Linked DNA regions of Saccharomyces cerevisiae S288C. The protein of the gene in region 3 purifies or fractionates together with the protein of the main gene of each other region. This does not show direct contact. Each region holds a gene or a part of one and is shown on either strand. Other genes may lie near its edges.

The links.
Region 1: the proteins of NOP2 (region 3) and NOC2 purify together in Saccharomyces cerevisiae (affinity purification with mass spectrometry; 8 studies listed by BioGRID, with this or other methods). This does not show direct contact.
Region 2: the proteins of NOP2 (region 3) and CIC1 purify together in Saccharomyces cerevisiae (affinity purification with mass spectrometry; 8 studies listed by BioGRID). This does not show direct contact.
Region 4: the proteins of NOP2 (region 3) and RRP1 purify together in Saccharomyces cerevisiae (affinity purification with mass spectrometry; 6 studies listed by BioGRID). This does not show direct contact.

The regions. Positions count from the first base shown.
Region 1 is NC_001147.6:725,288-731,258, forward strand, and holds NOC2 (mRNA-binding ribosome synthesis protein NOC2), read left to right. Parts: upstream 1-2,224; coding exon 2,225-4,357; downstream 4,358-5,971. Other genes in the region: GEP3 (Gep3p), read right to left, coding at 277-1,947; DNA-directed RNA polymerase III core subunit RET1, read right to left, coding at 4,721-5,971. UniProt on the Saccharomyces cerevisiae protein: Involved in the intranuclear transport of ribosomal precursors.
Region 2 is NC_001140.6:208,002-213,300, reverse strand, and holds CIC1 (Cic1p), read right to left. Parts: upstream 2,454-5,299; coding exon 1,323-2,453; downstream 1-1,322. Other genes in the region: YHR054C (uncharacterized protein), read left to right, coding at 1-116; metallothionein CUP1-1, read left to right, coding at 581-766; YHR052C-B (uncharacterized protein), read left to right, coding at 609-782; COX6 (cytochrome c oxidase subunit VI), read right to left, coding at 3,150-3,596; YHR050W-A (uncharacterized protein), read right to left, coding at 3,656-3,826; divalent metal ion transporter SMF2, read right to left, coding at 3,998-5,299. UniProt on the Saccharomyces cerevisiae protein: An adapter protein that specifically links the 26S proteasome to its substrate CDC4 which is one of the substrate recognition subunits of the SCF E3 ubiquitin ligase complex. Required for turnover of cell cycle regulatory proteins CDC4 and GRR1.
Region 3 is NC_001146.8:508,590-512,896, reverse strand, and holds NOP2 (rRNA (cytosine-C5-)-methyltransferase NOP2), read right to left. Parts: upstream 2,358-4,307; coding exon 501-2,357; downstream 1-500. Other genes in the region: actin-related protein ARP5, read left to right, coding at 1-229; tRNA 1-methyladenosine methyltransferase subunit GCD10, read left to right, coding at 2,685-4,121; MTQ1 (S-adenosylmethionine-dependent methyltransferase), read right to left, coding at 4,195-4,307. UniProt on the Saccharomyces cerevisiae protein: S-adenosyl-L-methionine-dependent methyltransferase that specifically methylates the C(5) position of cytosine 2870 (m5C2870) in 25S rRNA. Required for 60S ribosomal subunit synthesis and processing.
Region 4 is NC_001136.10:616,970-620,205, forward strand, and holds RRP1 (Rrp1p), read right to left. Parts: upstream 1,338-3,236; coding exon 501-1,337; downstream 1-500. Other genes in the region: translocon subunit SSS1, read right to left, coding at 1-201; mRNA splicing protein SLU7, read right to left, coding at 1,528-2,676. UniProt on the Saccharomyces cerevisiae protein: Required for 27S rRNA processing to 25S and 5.8S.

The DNA.
Region 1 (5,971 bases), on a different chromosome or scaffold from region 3:
CACAGTACCATTGTATAATAGTATTCATTTCCTTCCTACATTTTCTCTCCCTTTTTTGAGTTGAGGCCTTTTTATTGACTCGCCTTATACTCTACTTTATTTGTGTTTTGTAGATAGAATAAACATCAACAGTATAATTCATAATACTTTCTATTGCTTATTTCCTGTATATTCGTTTTTGAATATACTTTGTTCCCAACTTTCTTTTTAGTTTACTTACATTCATATTTACATGTGCGTTACTACTTATTGGTGCAACCAAGTGAACAGCGAGTCTTACCATTGGTAGTACCAATAGGGATTCTTTTTTTTTTCTAGGTGTTGAACCAAATCATAAGGATCATCGTCGACAAATCTTCTAGCAGATAAATCTTTCTCGGTTTTTTCTAAATACGACTTCTTCACTGCGTTCAAAGTATCAGCTTCATCCGGGGCCATCTCATACAGGGAACTGATGATCGGTCTATCTCTGGGACAGCTTGACTCTTTACCATTTGTTTCAATGTAACGCTGGTAGCCAGACTCAATCAAGTTTTCTAGCGGTTCCCTTATACCTACTTGGATACCCCTAGGTATCCATATCTCATGTAGTCCTTTGAACTCATACCTCCCAGTTGTCCTTAATAAAATATATCCTATATCTTTCAGAACGATCTCTATACTTCCAATAAATGGAGGTATTGCGTACCTTTTGTACTGGCTTTTTTCGCATATAACGCTTTTAATTCCACAATACCGTGATAACGGATGTGTGCCAGATGATGAATTGCACGAGTTGAATACATCAATACCTTTTTCAATGTTCTTGAATGTTTTTGATGGTCCTGGTATGTATTTCACAATCTGATTTATGGATCCTTTCGGAGGTACCAGGTAGAAAATCCCTCCCACGGTATAACAGCCTCCCTGTGATGTGCCCTTCATAGACTCATAAGTCTTCTGTTTTATATGCTTCCGATTGAATAAATCGGTTTTTCGCAGCCTTTGAAGCCAACGCTCGTCGATTAGTTCTTCTAGGCGTAATCTGGAGGTGGAAGTTGAATAGCCTGGAAGATCAAAAAGTATTTTACCTCCAACTTGGTAGGCTTGTACGGATCTAGTTAAATTGGGAATATGTGATACACCAGCAGCTTGAATCTTGAAAAAATTCTTCGGGTTCGTAAAAGCTTCTTGCATCACTTCTTCAGAGGGGGAGTTAATTTTCCCAGTAGAATCAATTTTAACCTTATATCCAAGATATTTCTGTAGTAGAGTATTGATCAAAGTTGATTTACCAACATTAGGGTTGCCTAGCAAATATGTGTAGTTTTTAAAGTAGTTGTAAAACATGGATATGTTCCAGTTTTTCAGCGCAGATATGGCGAATGTTTTATTTGAGTCAATTCTTAAAGTGTTCTTTAAAAATTGCTTCATGAATATAGGAACCTTTTTGCTGACAGCATTTTTATCTTTAAAAACTTGATCGCTTTTCGTTAACACTAATGTAGTATCTAAATCATTTCGTTTCAAAACATTGGGGTCTAAATGTAAGGGAAATTCTACAAAGGGGACAATATGCATAACATTTGAGCCTCTGGGGACGTAGTTCAGAATATCATTTAATGTGCTTTCGGGAAACTCTTCCGGGTTATAATTGTTATGATGAAGGGCATTACTGCACCTTTTGCAAATCACTCTCAATAGTAAATCTCTTTTGGTTTTGAGGTCAGGATCATTTTGAGTTGCCTGTTTCGAGAGCTGTATGTCTTGACTGAATAGCAAATACTTCAGATCTTGGAGGTCAGGATTTAGTTTTGAGTCGGGTAGACTTTTTGGCTTCGTATAATATCCTGGTTTACTAGGATCCTGATCCTGTAGTTTTATGGAACATGACGCACATTTCACTTTCACAATCACAGAACAGGAAAACTGACGTACGCCTCGAAGAGCATGACACAGATTCAACATTCCCGCATATTGAATTGTTCAAAGTAATTAGACGTGTTACTAGGAAGGTCCTTCGTTAATATTGCTCTGTTAAATGTATCTTGACCCATAACATCAAATAGTAGTTATCATCTTCGACGAGTTTTGAAAAATTTTCTGAATTTTTTCTTCCGATGAGATGAGCATGATATTTACAGAGAAAATAGAGAAACAGAATACTTGTACATGGGTAAATTCATTTATACTAATTTTTGAATTGTAAGAGAGATAGAGAAGGTCAACAATAGAATAAGTGGAGATGGGTAAAGTTTCTAAATCGACCAAGAAGTTTCAATCGAAGCATTTGAAGCATACTCTAGACCAAAGAAGAAAGGAAAAGATCCAAAAGAAGAGAATCCAAGGCCGTCGTGGCAACAAAACTGATCAGGAAAAGGCCGATGCTGCTGGTACTAGGGAACAACAGCAGTTGAAAAAATCTGCAAAGGAAGAGGTTTTTAAGGACATGTCTGTCGAAACTTTTTTTGAAAAGGGCATCGAAATTCCAAAAGAGAATAAAAAATTGAAGAAAAAAACTACGAAAGAGCAATCTGATGAAGATTCCTCCTCTTCCGAAGAGGAGGAAGACATGGGACAAAGCATGGCAAAGTTGGCCGAAAAGGATCCCGAATTTTATAAGTATTTGGAGGAAAATGATAAAGATTTATTGGACTTCGCAGGTACCAATCCATTGGATGGAATTGATAGTCAAGATGAAGGTGAAGATGCTGAAAGAAACAGTAATATTGAAGAAAAATCTGAACAAATGGAGCTGGAAAAGGAAAAAATTGAGCTTTCTTTGAAATTGGTTAGGAAATGGAAAAAACAACTTCATGATTCTCCAAGCTTAAAATTACTAAGGAACATAATCAGTGCTTTCAAGGTTGCTGTAAATTTGAACAAGGAAGAAAACATCGAAGACTATAAATATGCTATCACTGATGAGAAAGCATTCCACGAATTGATGTTCATGGTCTTGAAAGATGTACCACAAGCGATTCAAAAGATGGCCCCATACAAGATTGTAAAAGGCGCAAGGACCTTACCAAATGGAGGTAACGTCTCCAGGGTCTCGTCCATTGTCAAGTCGCATGCTGGCTCTTTGTTGATTTTATTGAATGATATTACTAATACGGAAACAGCAGCATTAGTTCTTCATTCTGTCAACGAATTGATGCCTTATCTTTTATCATACAGAAGGATCTTAAAGGAGCTTATTAAATCAATTGTTGGAGTATGGTCTACAACGAGAGAATTAGAAACCCAGATTGCTTCTTTTGCCTTTTTGATCAATACCACCAAAGAGTTCAAGAAGTCTATGCTAGAAACAACCTTAAAAACAACGTACTCCACTTTTATCAAAAGTTGTCGTAAAACGAATATGCGTTCTATGCCACTGATTAATTTTCAAAAAAATTCGGCAGCTGAATTGTTCGGTATCGATGAAGTTCTAGGTTACCAAGTTGGATTTGAGTATATTAGGCAATTGGCAATTCATTTAAGAAATACAATGAACGCGACAACTAAAAAATCCAGTAAAATTAATTCCGCAGAAGCTTACAAGATTGTATACAACTGGCAATTCTGTCACTCCTTGGATTTCTGGTCTCGTGTACTATCGTTTGCTTGTCAACCAGAAAAGGAAAATGGCAGTGAATCTCCTTTACGACAATTAATTTACCCATTGGTTCAGGTTACTTTGGGTGTAATCAGATTAATCCCAACACCACAATTCTTCCCATTAAGATTTTATTTGATTAAATCACTTATTAGACTTTCTCAAAATAGTGGTGTTTTTATTCCAATATATCCTTTACTTTCTGAAATTTTAACCTCAACGGCTTTCACTAAGGCACCCAAAAAGAGCCCTAACTTGGCTGCTTTCGATTTTGAGCACAACATCAAATGTACGCAAGCTTATCTGAATACAAAAATATACCAAGAGGGTTTGTCAGAACAGTTTGTGGACTTATTGGGCGATTATTTTGCTCTGTACTGTAAAAACATTGCATTTCCTGAACTTGTAACACCGGTTATTATCTCTTTACGCCGTTACATCAAGACTTCAACTAATGTCAAACTTAACAAACGTTTATCAACTGTTGTAGAAAAATTGAACCAAAACAGCACATTCATCCAAGAAAAGAGATCAGATGTTGAATTTGGGCCAACAAACAAATCTGAAGTTTCAAGATTTTTGAATGATGTAGCTTGGAATAAAACACCTTTAGGTTCTTATGTTGCAGTACAACGTGAAGTTAAGGAAGAAAAGGCCAGATTAATGAGAGAAAGTATGGAAGAACAAGACAAAGAAAGAGAAACAGAAGAAGCAAAATTATTAAACAGTCTGGAAAGTGATGATGACAACGAAGATGTTGAAATGTCAGACGCTTAACAACTCAGCAAGATTTGATTTTTTGTCTTGAATTCAATAGTTAAGTCTATAAATGTGTAAAATAAAGAAAAGTCTTTTTTAAAGCGTATATATCATTGTGCTCACATGTGCTAACATGTGAGCACTCCAAGCTTTCTCTTGTCAGCTGGATATTTTTATATTTTGGCCGGTTTATGGATAGAAAACACGTCAAACGTTCGATGGATCTTATAAAAAGTAATGATGTAAAGCAAGGTACAAAAATGAAAGAAGTACGGTTTACTGTTATATAATTTTCGAAATCGTTCAACTCTCTTAAAGTTCCTCACGAAATAGATATGATTGCTAACATAACGCAAAATTTAGTACAAGATATATGATTTCTTACTGCTGGAAGATATCTTCCAATCTTAATCTTGGGGCTATGTTCATGGATAATAATTCCTGGAATAACAGTTTTGCTGCATATGGAATAGTCATCTTAATAATATTCTCAGCACTTTTGCAGGTAGTACACCAACCACTATAGCCCATTAATCCACATTTATCGCAGACATCAACTTCAAAAGCATCTGAACTAATCATCAACCTTTCTAACAGCAATTGTGAAGCACCATACGCGATTACACAATCCCTCTCCATCTCACCCAACCTCAGACCACCATCTCTAGATCTACCCTCAGTTGGTTGACGTGTCAAAACAGCCCTTGGACCACGAGCTCTTGCATGCATCTTATCTAAGACCATATGCTTTAACTTTTGATAGTAAATGGGGCCAAAAAAGATGTAAGCCTGTAAACACTCACCTGTTATACCTGAATATAACATATCCTTACCGGAATAGTTGAAACCTTGGTCTACCAAAATCTTAGACATATCTTCAAGTTTAGAACCACCAAAACAAGTACCATATTCCAATGTACCATTCAATACACCAGCTTTACCCGATATCAGTTCGATCATTTTACCCACAGTCATACGAGATGGAAAACCGTGAGGGTTCATGATAATGTCTGGAACTATACCTTGATCGTTGAAGGGCATGTCTTCTTGCTTTACAATAATACCACAAACACCTTTTTGACCATGTCTAGAAGAAAATTTGTCACCTAATTCTGGCCTTCTGTTTTGTCTTAGCAAAACTTTGATTAAAGCTTGATCGTTATCCGAAACAGACATCATAACTTGGTCAATGTGAGAAGGTTCTGGACCTCTATATATTACCGGAGCTTCCCTATATTGAGTTTGGACGTTTACGTTGTTTGGGTTTGGGGCGTCTGCTGAGTTAGTTGGAACTGACTTATTTATATAAATTTGTCCACTTTGGACCTTCATACCCACCTCACCTAGACCATCAGGACCAAGAGATTGATGTTGCCAGATAGGATCTCCATTTTCATCAACTCTCATACCACCGATGATATCTTGGGTATGGTTCGCATATCTTTTCAAAACAGTGGTTGTCTTTCTACGTGTTTCGCAACGGCCGAAACCTCTATCGATGGATGACTTATTCAAAACCAAAGCATCTTCAATATCATAACCAGAATAGGACATGACAGCAACCGTAGCATTTTGACCAGCAGGTAATTTATCATAATCGATCAATTCAATTGTTTTGGTTTTCACCATTGG
Region 2 (5,299 bases), on a different chromosome or scaffold from region 3:
TAATGGAAAGAGAAGTTGTCCAAAGGAGTATAATTATTGACAAGGATTTGGAATCTGATAATCTGGGTATTACTACGGCAAACTTCAACGATTTCTATGATGCATTTTATAATTAGTAAGCCGATCCCATTACCGACATTTGGGCGCTATACGTGCATATGTTCATGTATGTATCTGTATTTAAAACACTTTTGTATTATTTTTCCTCATATATGTGTATAGGTTTATACGGATGATTTAATTATTACTTCACCACCCTTTATTTCAGGCTGATATCTTAGCCTTGTTACTAGTTAGAAAAAGACATTTTTGCTGTCAGTCACTGTCAAGAGATTCTTTTGCTGGCATTTCTTCTAGAAGCAAAAAGAGCGATGCGTCTTTTCCGCTGAACCGTTCCAGCAAAAAAGACTACCAACGCAATATGGATTGTCAGAATCATATAAAAGAGAAGCAAATAACTCCTTGTCTTGTATCAATTGCATTATAATATCTTCTTGTTAGTGCAATATCATATAGAAGTCATCGAAATAGATATTAAGAAAAACAAACTGTACAATCAATCAATCAATCATCACATAAAATGTTCAGCGAATTAATTAACTTCCAAAATGAAGGTCATGAGTGCCAATGCCAATGTGGTAGCTGCAAAAATAATGAACAATGCCAAAAATCATGTAGCTGCCCAACGGGGTGTAACAGCGACGACAAATGCCCCTGCGGTAACAAGTCTGAAGAAACCAAGAAGTCATGCTGCTCTGGGAAATGAAACGAATAGTCTTTAATATATTCATCTAACTATTTGCTGTTTTTAATTTTTAAAAGGAGAAGGAAGTTTAATCGACGATTCTACTCAGTTTGAGTACACTTATGTATTTTGTTTAGATACTTTGTTAATTTATAGGTATACGTTAATAATTAAGAAAAGGAAATAAAGTATCTCCATATGTCGCCCCAAGAATAAAATATTATTACCAAATTCTAGTTTGCCTAACTTACAACTCTGTATAGAATCCCCAGATTTCGAATAAAAAAAAAGCATATGTATTAATCCTAAAATGTATTATGAGAACGTCTTTTAAAGGTAAAATGCTGTTATCCCCGTCACTTTCAATGATCTATTTATTTGAAGCGGATAGTACAACAGATCAGTCTAAAACGTATAAGCTCTTAGACCGAGAAACCAATATTCAAATAATGACTTTATTTTTAATATACACTTCAAACATATATAGATATATACATATGCACCGCACTCTATGAAATTCAAATTTTTTTCTTCACAAGAAAAAAATGAGAGAAAAGATAGATAAGGAGGAAACAAATTAACTTTTAGCCTTCTTGACAGCTTCTGACTCGCTAGATTCTTTTTCAAGCTCGCTAGAAGATCTCTTTTTTGCATTGTTAATTTGTTTAGAGAAAATTGAACCCAATTCGGAAGGATTGGCGATTTCCATCAAACCCTTGTTGAAGGTAGACAAATGAACTTGTACACCATCAATGGTGACCATGTCATCTTCGTGGGTTTCTTCGATTTTGTCCTTTTTAGCTTCAAGTTCATCAAGAACGTCCTGGTTATAGTATAATGGCAATACGGGCGACCTATTGGTCTTGATAAAAATGGATCTGATTTGGTATGCTTTGATTAACTGTTCAGAAATTAATTCAACGTTATCTACAAACTCTTCTGGCCTTAACCATTCTAAATTACCCAAATGGACATTCAACGTGGTACCTCTTGGAAGTTTAACGGGCAACTGATTCATGTAAACCTTTTTGATATTGTTCGTCAAAGTGGTCAAGGAAAATTCCTTATTTGCATGTGTTCTAATTGATATAGGAGTAGTTTCTACTTTGTTGTAGGCTTTGCCTCCCATAAGTTTTGGCAAAGATGTAACTATACTGTCGTCAGCCAAAATCAAAGAAAACTGAGATATAAAAGCGTTTCTAGCCTCATATGCCTTGTAAACGGTCTTTAAGTCTTTCCCGCAAATGATTTCATCAACCTTGATTCCTTCTGAATCTAATTGATCAAATAAATCATCTTCTGAAACTTTCTTAATATCAGAATCCTTCAAAATTAATAAAACTTTGAAATCCTTAACCGCTGTTGCACTGGCTTCTTTCCAAGGCTTGTAAAACGAATGTTTGACATTTAGTAATTTCAATTTGAATGATTTGGAAGTACCGGTGAATGATTTATTATTTACTACGATTAATTGCAGATCTTTCTTCAATTCTTCTTCATCATCTTCCAATAGGTTTTTCTTACCGTTATTTCCTTCTTCATTATTTTCATCTTGTGGCTTGGAAGTGAATTTTATAAGCTCGTTGACAGCTTTAATAACTCTTTCCCTAGGAATGGCTGTGGAAGATTTCTTTTCAATAACCTTCTTCTTTTCTTTGCTTGGTGTACTTACAGGCGTAGATTTCTTTGAGTTACTCTTTTTAGCCATTTTATACTTTATAGTCTGGAACGTAGGTTTATCTGCCTGCTGTCTAATATTTCTTATAAAACAGACACTATTCTTTATGCAGTATACAAACGCTTTTTGTTACTTTTCAAAATTTGCGATGAGCTCCAGTGGAAAAATTTTTTTCAGGAAATTGTCTTTAATTTTTTTAGTATGAAGTGACATCAACTTCACATTTATTGACGCAACGGTGAAGCACAGAATAGAATAGTAATTCTTTAATGGTATATTCTAGGTTTTTGTTTTTTATATAGTTATTTATTGTTTTATTATTTTTCCCATTCTTCTTTCCTGAAATAGAACACAAAAAAGCTACTAACAAAGGATATTAAAGGTAATCTGTGACCAGCCCTCATTACCAAAAATAAAGTTTGTTCAAGTAATAGAGTAGAGAAAACAAAGTGGAAATCATAATGGTTAAATTTAAATATTTTTCTTTTACTTTTCTTATTTCACCTCTTGTGATCTTATCGTTGATTTTGATATATTAGTTTCTGAGTGGATGAATATCCATAAAGGGTAAAACAAATAATAAGGTAAAAGGGAAGAAAAAAAAAAAATAAAAACTAAAATCGTTTTACAAAATAAATACGAATCTTATTTCAAATTGAGGAATTTTCCACAAATAAAAAAAGGACAACAAATTACAGACGTTGTGTGGTAGCTTTTTCCTTATTATTAAGAAGAGCTTGGAAATAGCTCTTCCTTTAAGGGAACGCCCAATTCTTGTCTGACATCCTTCAATTCATCCAAGTAGGCCTTGTATTGGTCTTCATTCTCCACCTTGTATTTCAAAGCCTCAAATACTCTAATTGCGGTAGGTAAGTCATTGACTCTTCTGGCAGCCCTCAAAGCTTTTTCAATAACAGCAGGAGCAGGAACTAAATCATAGGAAAAACAGTTGTTGAGCACTCTTTGCACTTCAAACAAATCATAGGCTTCATCAAACTCCTTTTCGTATCTTGCGGTGAATTCCTCAAAGGTTTCTTCATCATGTGCGTCAGAATACTTCCTACTTTGAATAAACGTATTTTTAGTCAATCTAGTTGCATGATAAGCACCAGGTCTGGCTCTCAATAAAGTTCTATTTATAACTGGATTTCTGAATATGGCCCTTGATAACATTGTTGTATATTTATTAGTTTATGTGTCAAATACAATTGTTCGGCTGTTTATCTCCGCTACTAAGTCTCAGAAGTGATACAATTTTTCAAATTGTAATAATAAATAAGTGTGCTAAAATGTGGATGAAATGTAAAGAAATGAGGTAACCTTGAGATCTGGCACCTTGATAAGCAAGAGCAATTGTTGATCTTTATTAATGCTTTGACCGGACCAATTAGGTCCCTTTTCATAGGGAGATTCAAAGAAAGCTGTAAGCGGCGGAAATAACGCGCGGGGCCCTGATTGGCTCGTATGGAGCGATACGGCCATCAGTATAGCCTAACACCAACTTTTTGATTGGAATTTTCTGTTATTATTCTTGGATAAAATGTATACTTATACTAGTCTAAAGAATTGTTATATTAGAGGTGTACTTCTTTGCCCGTAGTAAAGCCCAGTAACATATAAAAGTTCAGTCCGGAGATAATCAACCATACTATGATTGCGAGCACGGTGACGATCATTCCATTGCTCATGTCTTTGTATTCTGGAGCAGGAGAAACTAAGCTGCGCTCCTGTGAGCTGCTGCCTATGCCCATTTCTTCGAGCTCAATGGTCTCATCATCTTCGGTTCGGTCGGCCACGGGTTTTTTGTCTGTAGTTCTTGAAAGTTCTTTGGTACGGTTAAGCTGTACACGCATAATCTTCTTGCTTGAAGTGAAGTAAAGTAAAGGTGCAGAAACAAAAGGCAGCAAGAGAGAAAGTACCACTTGGGAAGCATTTAGTGCACCAGAGAGGCCGCTACGTCCAGCTACAAGCACTAAAATCAAACAAGGCGTGATGGCTACCGCTCTTGTGGCGGATCTTCTCAATGCCGGAGAAACAGTCCAATTTAAGAACCCTTCACTAACCATTTGTCCACTCAACGTACACACGATACCGGCACTCTGTCCTGAAAACAACAATGCCAGCACGAATACCGTTCCCGCTCCCTTGGAAAGAGTACTACAGAGTAAGTTGTAAATAGAAAATAAGTCAGCTTCCTCAGCATTTTGAGTGGACCCGTATAGTGTAGCGCCAGACACGATAAGAATGGCACAATTGACAAATAATGCCACCGTGAACAGCGAGATCAGTAATTCCGTTATAGTAAAGTGCAGAGTTTCACTGATGGCCTCATAGGATGGCCTGTAATTATCGTGATTGTTATCCATATCATTCGCGTCTGGCAAGTAATGTCCGTTTTTGATATCATACTCTCTTAATCTTGGTTGAACCACACCTGACCCCAAATATAATGAATGAGGCATTACCGTGGCGCCCAGAATTGCCAGACTTAAGTATAACCCATCACCTTCAAAAACGGCTTTACTGGGTAAGAACCCAGAAAATATTTCTTTGGCAGGTCCCAGTTTGGCATAAAACAGTTCAACAGTAAAGCAAACTACGGTAAGAACCACCAATAAAGAAACAAAAGCTTCAAATATTCTGATACCCTTCATGGAACCGTTAGGTTTGTAAGCTAGCAGAACAATTAAAACGTCTACCACAGTAAGTATCACACCTAGGGCGAGAGGTATATGGAAAAGGATATTCAAAGAAATAGCGGTTCCTACCACTTCTGCCAGATCTGTGGCAATAATTGCCATCTCCGCCAGAATATAAAGAGTAATGTTAAGTCCAAAGGGCAAATGTTTCTTACAATTTTGTGCCAGATCTAGGCC
Region 3 (4,307 bases):
GAAAGAACGTATTGTGAAGGAATTCACTGGATTCCTTCCTACCGGTACCAATATCACTGTAAATATGTCTTCAGATCCTTCATTGGATGCCTGGAAGGGTATGGCAGCTCTAGCACGAAACGAAGAACAGTATAGGAAAACAGTTATCAGTAAGAAAGAATACGAAGAGTACGGTCCAGAGTACATCAAAGAGCATAAGTTAGGGAATACGAAGTATTTTGAAGACTAAGGAGACAGCAAACTGAAACGCCTTAAAAACAAAAAAAGAGAAATAAATAGAGATATATGTAATACTATATTGGCAACGAATATTAATAAGTAATATCATCGCCTTTTTTCTTAGTGCTGTTTACAAATCGGCTTTATTATTTCTATTTTGAATTTAATATACAGTGAGACATATTTGAAATTGATATATATATATATATATATATATGTAGACAGAGAAAGATTAGAGAGAGAAAACTATGCTAACATGATGCCACTACGTTTGTGGGAACTTATTTTTCGTTAGAAGGTCTTTTAGCTTTTGGATTGACACCCTTTTTCAAAAGATTGTTTTTCACAGACTTTTCAATGTACTTATCGTCTTCTTCGTCCTCGAAGGTTGCGAAGTCAGAGTGAATGATACCTTCTTCCAAAGCTTCCTTTCTAGCAGCAGTTTCCTTTTCTTTTGCACTTGCTTGGTTATCATCAAACGAAGATGGACCGATCTTTTGGAATTTAGCGACAAAGAACCCATCGACGTTGTACGTATGTGGATAGTACCTCCTCGCTAATTTCACACTAGGATGAAACTTTTTGCCTCTGTAACTAGTAAACGCTTCTTTACCGATCGCTAAACCAGTATCGACTAACTTGACATTCGGTCTTTTTCTCAATGCATAGTCTATGACAGCTTCGTCCTCTTCCACTGCAACAGAACATGTCGAATATACTATTACACCACCATGTTTCGAGTTGCAATCAACAGAATCAATGGCGGATAGAAGCAATTGTTTTTGTAGATGTGGAATTTGAATGAAGTCCTTCTCGGTACGAGACACCTTGACAGATTGATCCTTACCGATAACACCAGTACCGGAACATGGGGCATCCAGTAAAATTCTGTCAAAACCTCCAATTACCTTAGGGAACTCACGGGCATCGTAATTGCATACAATAGTGTTGGTACAGCCTAGACGGTGGATATTAGCAATTAAAGATTTTGTTCTAGATTTATTGGCGTCGTTAGCGAAAACACAACCTGTGTTTTTCATCATAGCTGATATATAAGTGGTCTTACCACCTGGAGCAGCTGCCATATCCAAGATACGCTCATTTTCATGAGGATCTAGAGCAATAACTGGTAGAAAAGATGATGCCGCTTGTAAAATATAGTGACCTGCCAAATATTCTGGCGTAGCACCAATTGGGACTTGGGAATCGAATATTTGAAGACCAACTTTAGTCCAAGAACCAATAGGTTGTAGATTAACACCTCTATTCACAAGAGTTTGAGCTAAGTCTCTCCTTCTGGTCTTCAAGGTGTTGGTTCTGATGGTTATTGGTCTTGCAATTTCATTGGCTTCGAAAAACTCCATCGCCTCTGCTGGTGAGAATAGATTGAATAACTTTTCCGCCAAAAATGGTGTATAACCAAAGTACTCACAAATATCTTTCAAAAGTCTGTCAACGTATTCTCCTCTCGATCTGCCTTCTGCACCAAGAGTCTTAAAATTTTCCAAAACCTTTACAATTTCAATCATTCTTGTTCTTGTGGAAGTTAAATTAGGAGTTTCTTGTGCCATCATTTCTTCCTGCTCCTCAGTGGGCAATATGTCTGCTCTTGGTTGCATGTTCTCCGCTTCCACTAACTCCATTTCGGCTTCTTCAGCTTCTTCAGCTTCTTCTTCATCAAGTTTCTTAGAAAGAGCTTCCATGTTTTGTGCATTTAGTTCTTCAAGATCAGCCTCATCGTCGTCATCTGAAAAAATTGGGTGGGCGTCATTATCTTCATCTTCATCGTAATCATATTCTTGTTCCAAGTCAAATTCATCTTTTAGTTCTTCATCCACCAATCCTGCTTCATCGTCATCTTCTTCATCATCAAATAAAGATTTCCTGGCTTTTGATAATTCTTCAAGATCAACTTCTGGCAAATCCTTATCCTCTTCAACAACTTCTTCCTCCTCTTTTCTAGATTTCTTGAATGGCTTCGACTTCTTTTTCTTTCTATCAGAAACTTCATCCCCTTGCGTGGTAGAAGGTCTCTTTCCTTTTTCTAGCTTTCTATTAGCCTTCTTTTCCTTTCTTGCCTGAAACTCCTCCAGGGTTGGTGGGGCGGCTTGCTTGTTCTTATGACGTCTACTACCCATTTCCTATTATATGTATATGTAATTCTAATATTAGCCAACACAAGGGGAATTCCGCCAGAATTACAAATCTATATACCTTAGCGACAACTGTATTTGCAGCTCAGCTCATCTTAAACTTATTCTGCGATGAGATGAAAATTTTTTTCAGAAAACGTGAAACTGGGTAACGGTTTTGTAAAATCTGAAAAATTTCATCAAAAAAAAAAAAAAAGTCGATGAGGTGTATAATAACAATAATAATATTCAACTTTAAATTCTTTGGCACGTTGGATCCTACTCACATTGTTGCAAACGAATTGGACAAAAAAACTTTGAATTTAGTGCACAATGAATGCTTTGACAACCATAGATTTTAATCAGCACGTTATCGTCCGGCTGCCATCAAAAAATTACAAGATAGTGGAACTAAAGCCCAACACCTCTGTATCATTAGGAAAATTCGGTGCTTTCGAGGTTAATGACATAATTGGTTATCCTTTCGGGTTGACTTTCGAGATATATTATGATGGCGAAGAGGTTTCATCCGATGAAAATAGAGATTCGAAACCAAAGAACAAAATTCCCATCGGGAAAGTAAGGCTATTATCGCAGGAGATCAAAGATGTCAATAATGATAAAGACGATGGTCAAAGCGAGCCTCCTTTATCTATTAAGGAAAAATCTGTGTCTCTTGAATTGTCTAGCATTGACAGCAGTGCTACGAATCAGAATCTGGTTAACATGGGCAGCAAGGCCCAAGAGTTAACCGTTGAAGAAATTGAAAAAATGAAACAAGAATCTTTATCTAGTAAAGAAATAATCGACAAAATTATCAAATCTCACAAAAGTTTTCACAACAAGACCGTATATTCTCAAGAGAAATATGTGAATAGGAAGAAACAAAAATTCGCCAAGTACTTCACCGTTGAGTATTTAAGTAGCTCTAACCTTTTACAATTCTTAATCGACAAAGGCGATATCCAAAGGGTATTGGATATGTCTCAGGAATCGATGGGGATGCTGTTAAATCTTGCGAACATCCAATCAGAAGGCAACTATCTCTGTATGGATGAAACGGGTGGGTTATTGGTTTACTTTCTGTTGGAAAGAATGTTTGGCGGTGACAATGAAAGCAAATCCAAGGGCAAAGTCATAGTTATTCACGAAAATGAACATGCCAACTTGGATTTGCTGAAGTTTGCTAATTATTCTGAGAAATTTATTAAAGAGCATGTACACACCATTTCTCTATTAGATTTTTTTGAACCGCCTACACTACAAGAGATTCAGAGCAGATTTACACCATTACCTAAAGAAGAAGCCCGTGCATTAAAAGGTGGTAAGAAAAACTCGTACTACCGAAAACTCAGATGGTACAATACACAATGGCAAATTTTAGAACTAACAGGAGAATTCCTATATGACGGTCTTGTAATGGCTACTACACTACATTTACCAACACTAGTGCCAAAGTTGGCCGAAAAAATCCATGGTTCAAGGCCGATTGTATGCTATGGTCAATTCAAAGAAACTTTGTTGGAATTAGCTCATACTTTATATTCAGACCTCAGGTTTTTAGCACCATCAATTTTGGAAACTAGATGTAGGCCGTACCAAAGTATAAGGGGTAAGCTACACCCTCTGATGACCATGAAAGGTGGTGGTGGATATCTAATGTGGTGTCACAGAGTCATCCCTGCTCCTGAACCTGTATCGGAAAACGCGACTGCAGCTGACTCCAGTGAAAAGCTTGCTGAACATGGAGCTAAGAAACAAAAAATATAAATGTCCACAGAGTGTTCCGTTTGATAACTTCCAACAAAAAAACCTGAGAATATATATATTTACATTTATATACTTAGTTGCAATTAGCTTTGTGCCCACTGAGTGCGGTTGCTAAATGTCTTATAGTCCCAAAGGATGCAAAAATCTGGTGTAGTATTCGCCCTTTGGGAGTGGCCTTAAACCCAT
Region 4 (3,236 bases), on a different chromosome or scaffold from region 3:
GGCGTAACCAATGATACCGACTGCAATAAAACCAATACCAACAGCCTTGACAATCTTGGTGTATTCCTTCAAATCAGGTTTCTTACACTTGGCCAAGAATTGAGTACCTTCTCTGACAAATTCTACAGGTGCTTCAACCAGCTTTTCAACCTGGTTGTTGCTCTGCTTTTTCTCTTCACCTTTTTCACTAGCTCTAGCCATTTTATTTTTCAATGTTATACGTGATTTTATCTTTGGTAAACTAGCGTAGTGCGGACAATGGACACGAGTTATGGACAATACACGCCAATCTGTACTATTTTCCTTGTTTAATTTAATCACTAGTATTCTTTCATTTCAAAACGAAAAAAAAATAAAAAAAATGTTGCGAGGAAAAAAAGGCGACGTGTTTCGCATTCCGCCAATATCCACAGAGGGTAATGAATTTTTCGTACTATAGATATACAACTACAATTTATATGAGCGACTTACGATTACTTACATACTACCGCCAGGAAGAATCAAAATCCCTTCCACTCTTCCTCTTCCTCTTCTTCAGATTCGTTACTGGAATCATTATGTTGCGTTTCGCCTTCAAGAATATCCCAGGAAACAAGTCTGGTGTCACTGAATAGGTCTTCTTTGATCTTCTCTCTCAACACCTTACTGTTATTGTAATCTGCCACGATATCTTGGAAAATTGCGATAACATCGGCTAGTGGCGTTTTTTTTGCGCTCTCTGCAATTTTGCGCATCTCTTCCTCTTTGTTTTCCTCGTCTTCATCGTCTTCATCTCCATCTTTAAGCAATCTTTCCCATTCGTCCAGCAGAATATCGACGATATGAATTGGAATCCCTGTGTAGACCTTTGGACTTCCACTCAGAGGTAACCACCTCAACACTTTCTTAATATACTCGTCGACTAATTTTTTGTCCCAGTTTCTGGACTGCAAATACTTCAATTGACTGAATAATACCCTTCTTATCAATAGAAGATACTTATCCAACCTATATCTGTCAATGTTAAACCATTCAAAGCACATGACCTTCCAAAACCCTCTGCTAAACTTTATAAATGCTTTATCGTTTGTGGTCAACTCATCTGCAGTGCTATTGTCCTTAGGATCAAAATATAATCCATGCAATTCACCTAATTCATTGGCTAAACGTTGCTGAGGTCTAGGACGGTCACTGAACCACATTGCATAGTAAAGACCCTTCCAAAGTTTATTGAATTCTATTTGTTTGTTCTCCTTGAACTGTTTAGCGGTTAGATATTTCTTTAACGCTTCGAGTGCATTTACCCTGGTTTTTCTGTTGTTCGACGATAATTGTTTAACAAAGTTGGAGGTCTCCATTGTGAATGTTCTCACTCGATTTTTTAAGTGTCTATTTAGTGTATTATGCCGTGAATGCGCAAGATATATACGTATACTTAAGAATGTAGTTTATATTTGACAATTTTTTTCAGCTCATCGCATTTTTTTTTCTAAATTCTTTACCTCTCGTGCTCCGTGACTAGGATATTGGAAATTCAAATGATATAACTTAACCATATAAATCTTTTAAGTGGTTCCGTTGTTCCTCAGATTGCTTTGTACCATCTACTTTCCTAGCTTCCAGATCTCCAATGCTGACAATCTTGGGCTGCTTGGTTTCTTCTTGTTCCCGTTTTTTCTTCAGATATTCATATTTAGTAGGATTGGCGACTAAAACATGTTGTACTTTTTCCTTATCCTCAATTTCATCACGTATACCCATTTCCTTAGCGTGAGATCTAGCAAACTGGTTCAATTCGTTTAATTTTAGGCCTTCACCTGTCAAATGTCTGCGGAACATTTTTGATTTTTCATCAACTGCGCCCAGTGTTTCAGTTTTGTACAATCTTGATTTAGGATCATAATTACTCTCCGTTGAATTTATGTCGTTCAAGTAAGCAGCCTTATCTTCTCTCAATCTCGTTGATGTCCTATACAACTGAGAATTATCAGCATCATCTTTCTTCAATGAACCTACGGAATCCTTGTAAAGTTCTAACTTCATTAGTTCTATCTCTTCATCTGTATCCCATAGTGTTTCATCAGTTTGGGATTTGTCTTTTCCTTTTATTTTATTTCTTTTATCACGCTCCCACTTACTTATCAGTTCATTGTATTCTTTCCCTGAGTAACCGTACCATCTATCTTTTCTGGAGTCCCAGTCATCATCAGTAGCTCGTACTAAAACTGTGCCATTATTTTTTTGTGAATTTAAATCGGGAACAAGCTTCTGCATCTTACGAGGTTTTTCCATGCAGTCTTTCTCCTTATGCCCTGCTTCCCCACAATTCCTACAAAATGACAGCGAATGAGAATCTCGGACGGACATCTTCTGGGGTCTGATTAGTTTGAACTCATCCTTTATACCCATACCAATTTTTGGTTCTGAATTATTGTCAATATCTAAAGCACCCCCTTTTGCTTTTTGCCTATGATGCACCAAGTAGTCGCTTTTTTCTCCTCCTTCTGCAGTGCTCGTATCATCATTGCCGGGCTTCTTCCCTTCTTGTTCTTTGGGGGTATCCTTATAGTACCATGGTTGATTTCTAATATACCTGGGGATATGAATATTTTCATTTTTTTCTTTTGCTTGTTGTAGTTGCCTTTTATTTCTGTTAATAGTGCTTCGATTTTCGTTGTTTCTGCTGTTATTATTCATTATGTAATCCGATCGTTGTATTTCAGTGTAACTGGTATCTTTTTCAGAAGTGCTCGATAAATGATATACGCAGACTTGATTATTGATTTACTTGAAAGGCAAGCTATTCAATAGATAACGAAGGAGTTATCGTTATGGGTACTATTATTGTCTTTCCGCGTTCGAACTAGTCACTAGTTGTTCCAATGAAATGTACTTTAAAAAAACTCGACAACTTCTCCAATTAAATTGAAGAGTACGGCAGCTGAGGTTACCAACTCTTTTCTATATTTTAATTGTCACTAGGTATAAAAATCAAAAGTCTAGAAAAATGTATAAAAAATCTTCCCCGCCAGGACTTGAACCTGGAATCTTCTGGTTCGTAGCCAGACGCCGTGACCATTGGGCCACGAGGAACAAGATTTCTTGAAGTTATTGAAATACGGGATTTGCTGATACCAGAATTAATAAATTCAGACCGACTTCTCTTGTGGGGTGGTAATCATCATTTAAAGTGTGGTATCCTGCTTAGCCCGGACAAAGAAGTTATTTTAAAGATTTATTTGCCAATCTTCACAACT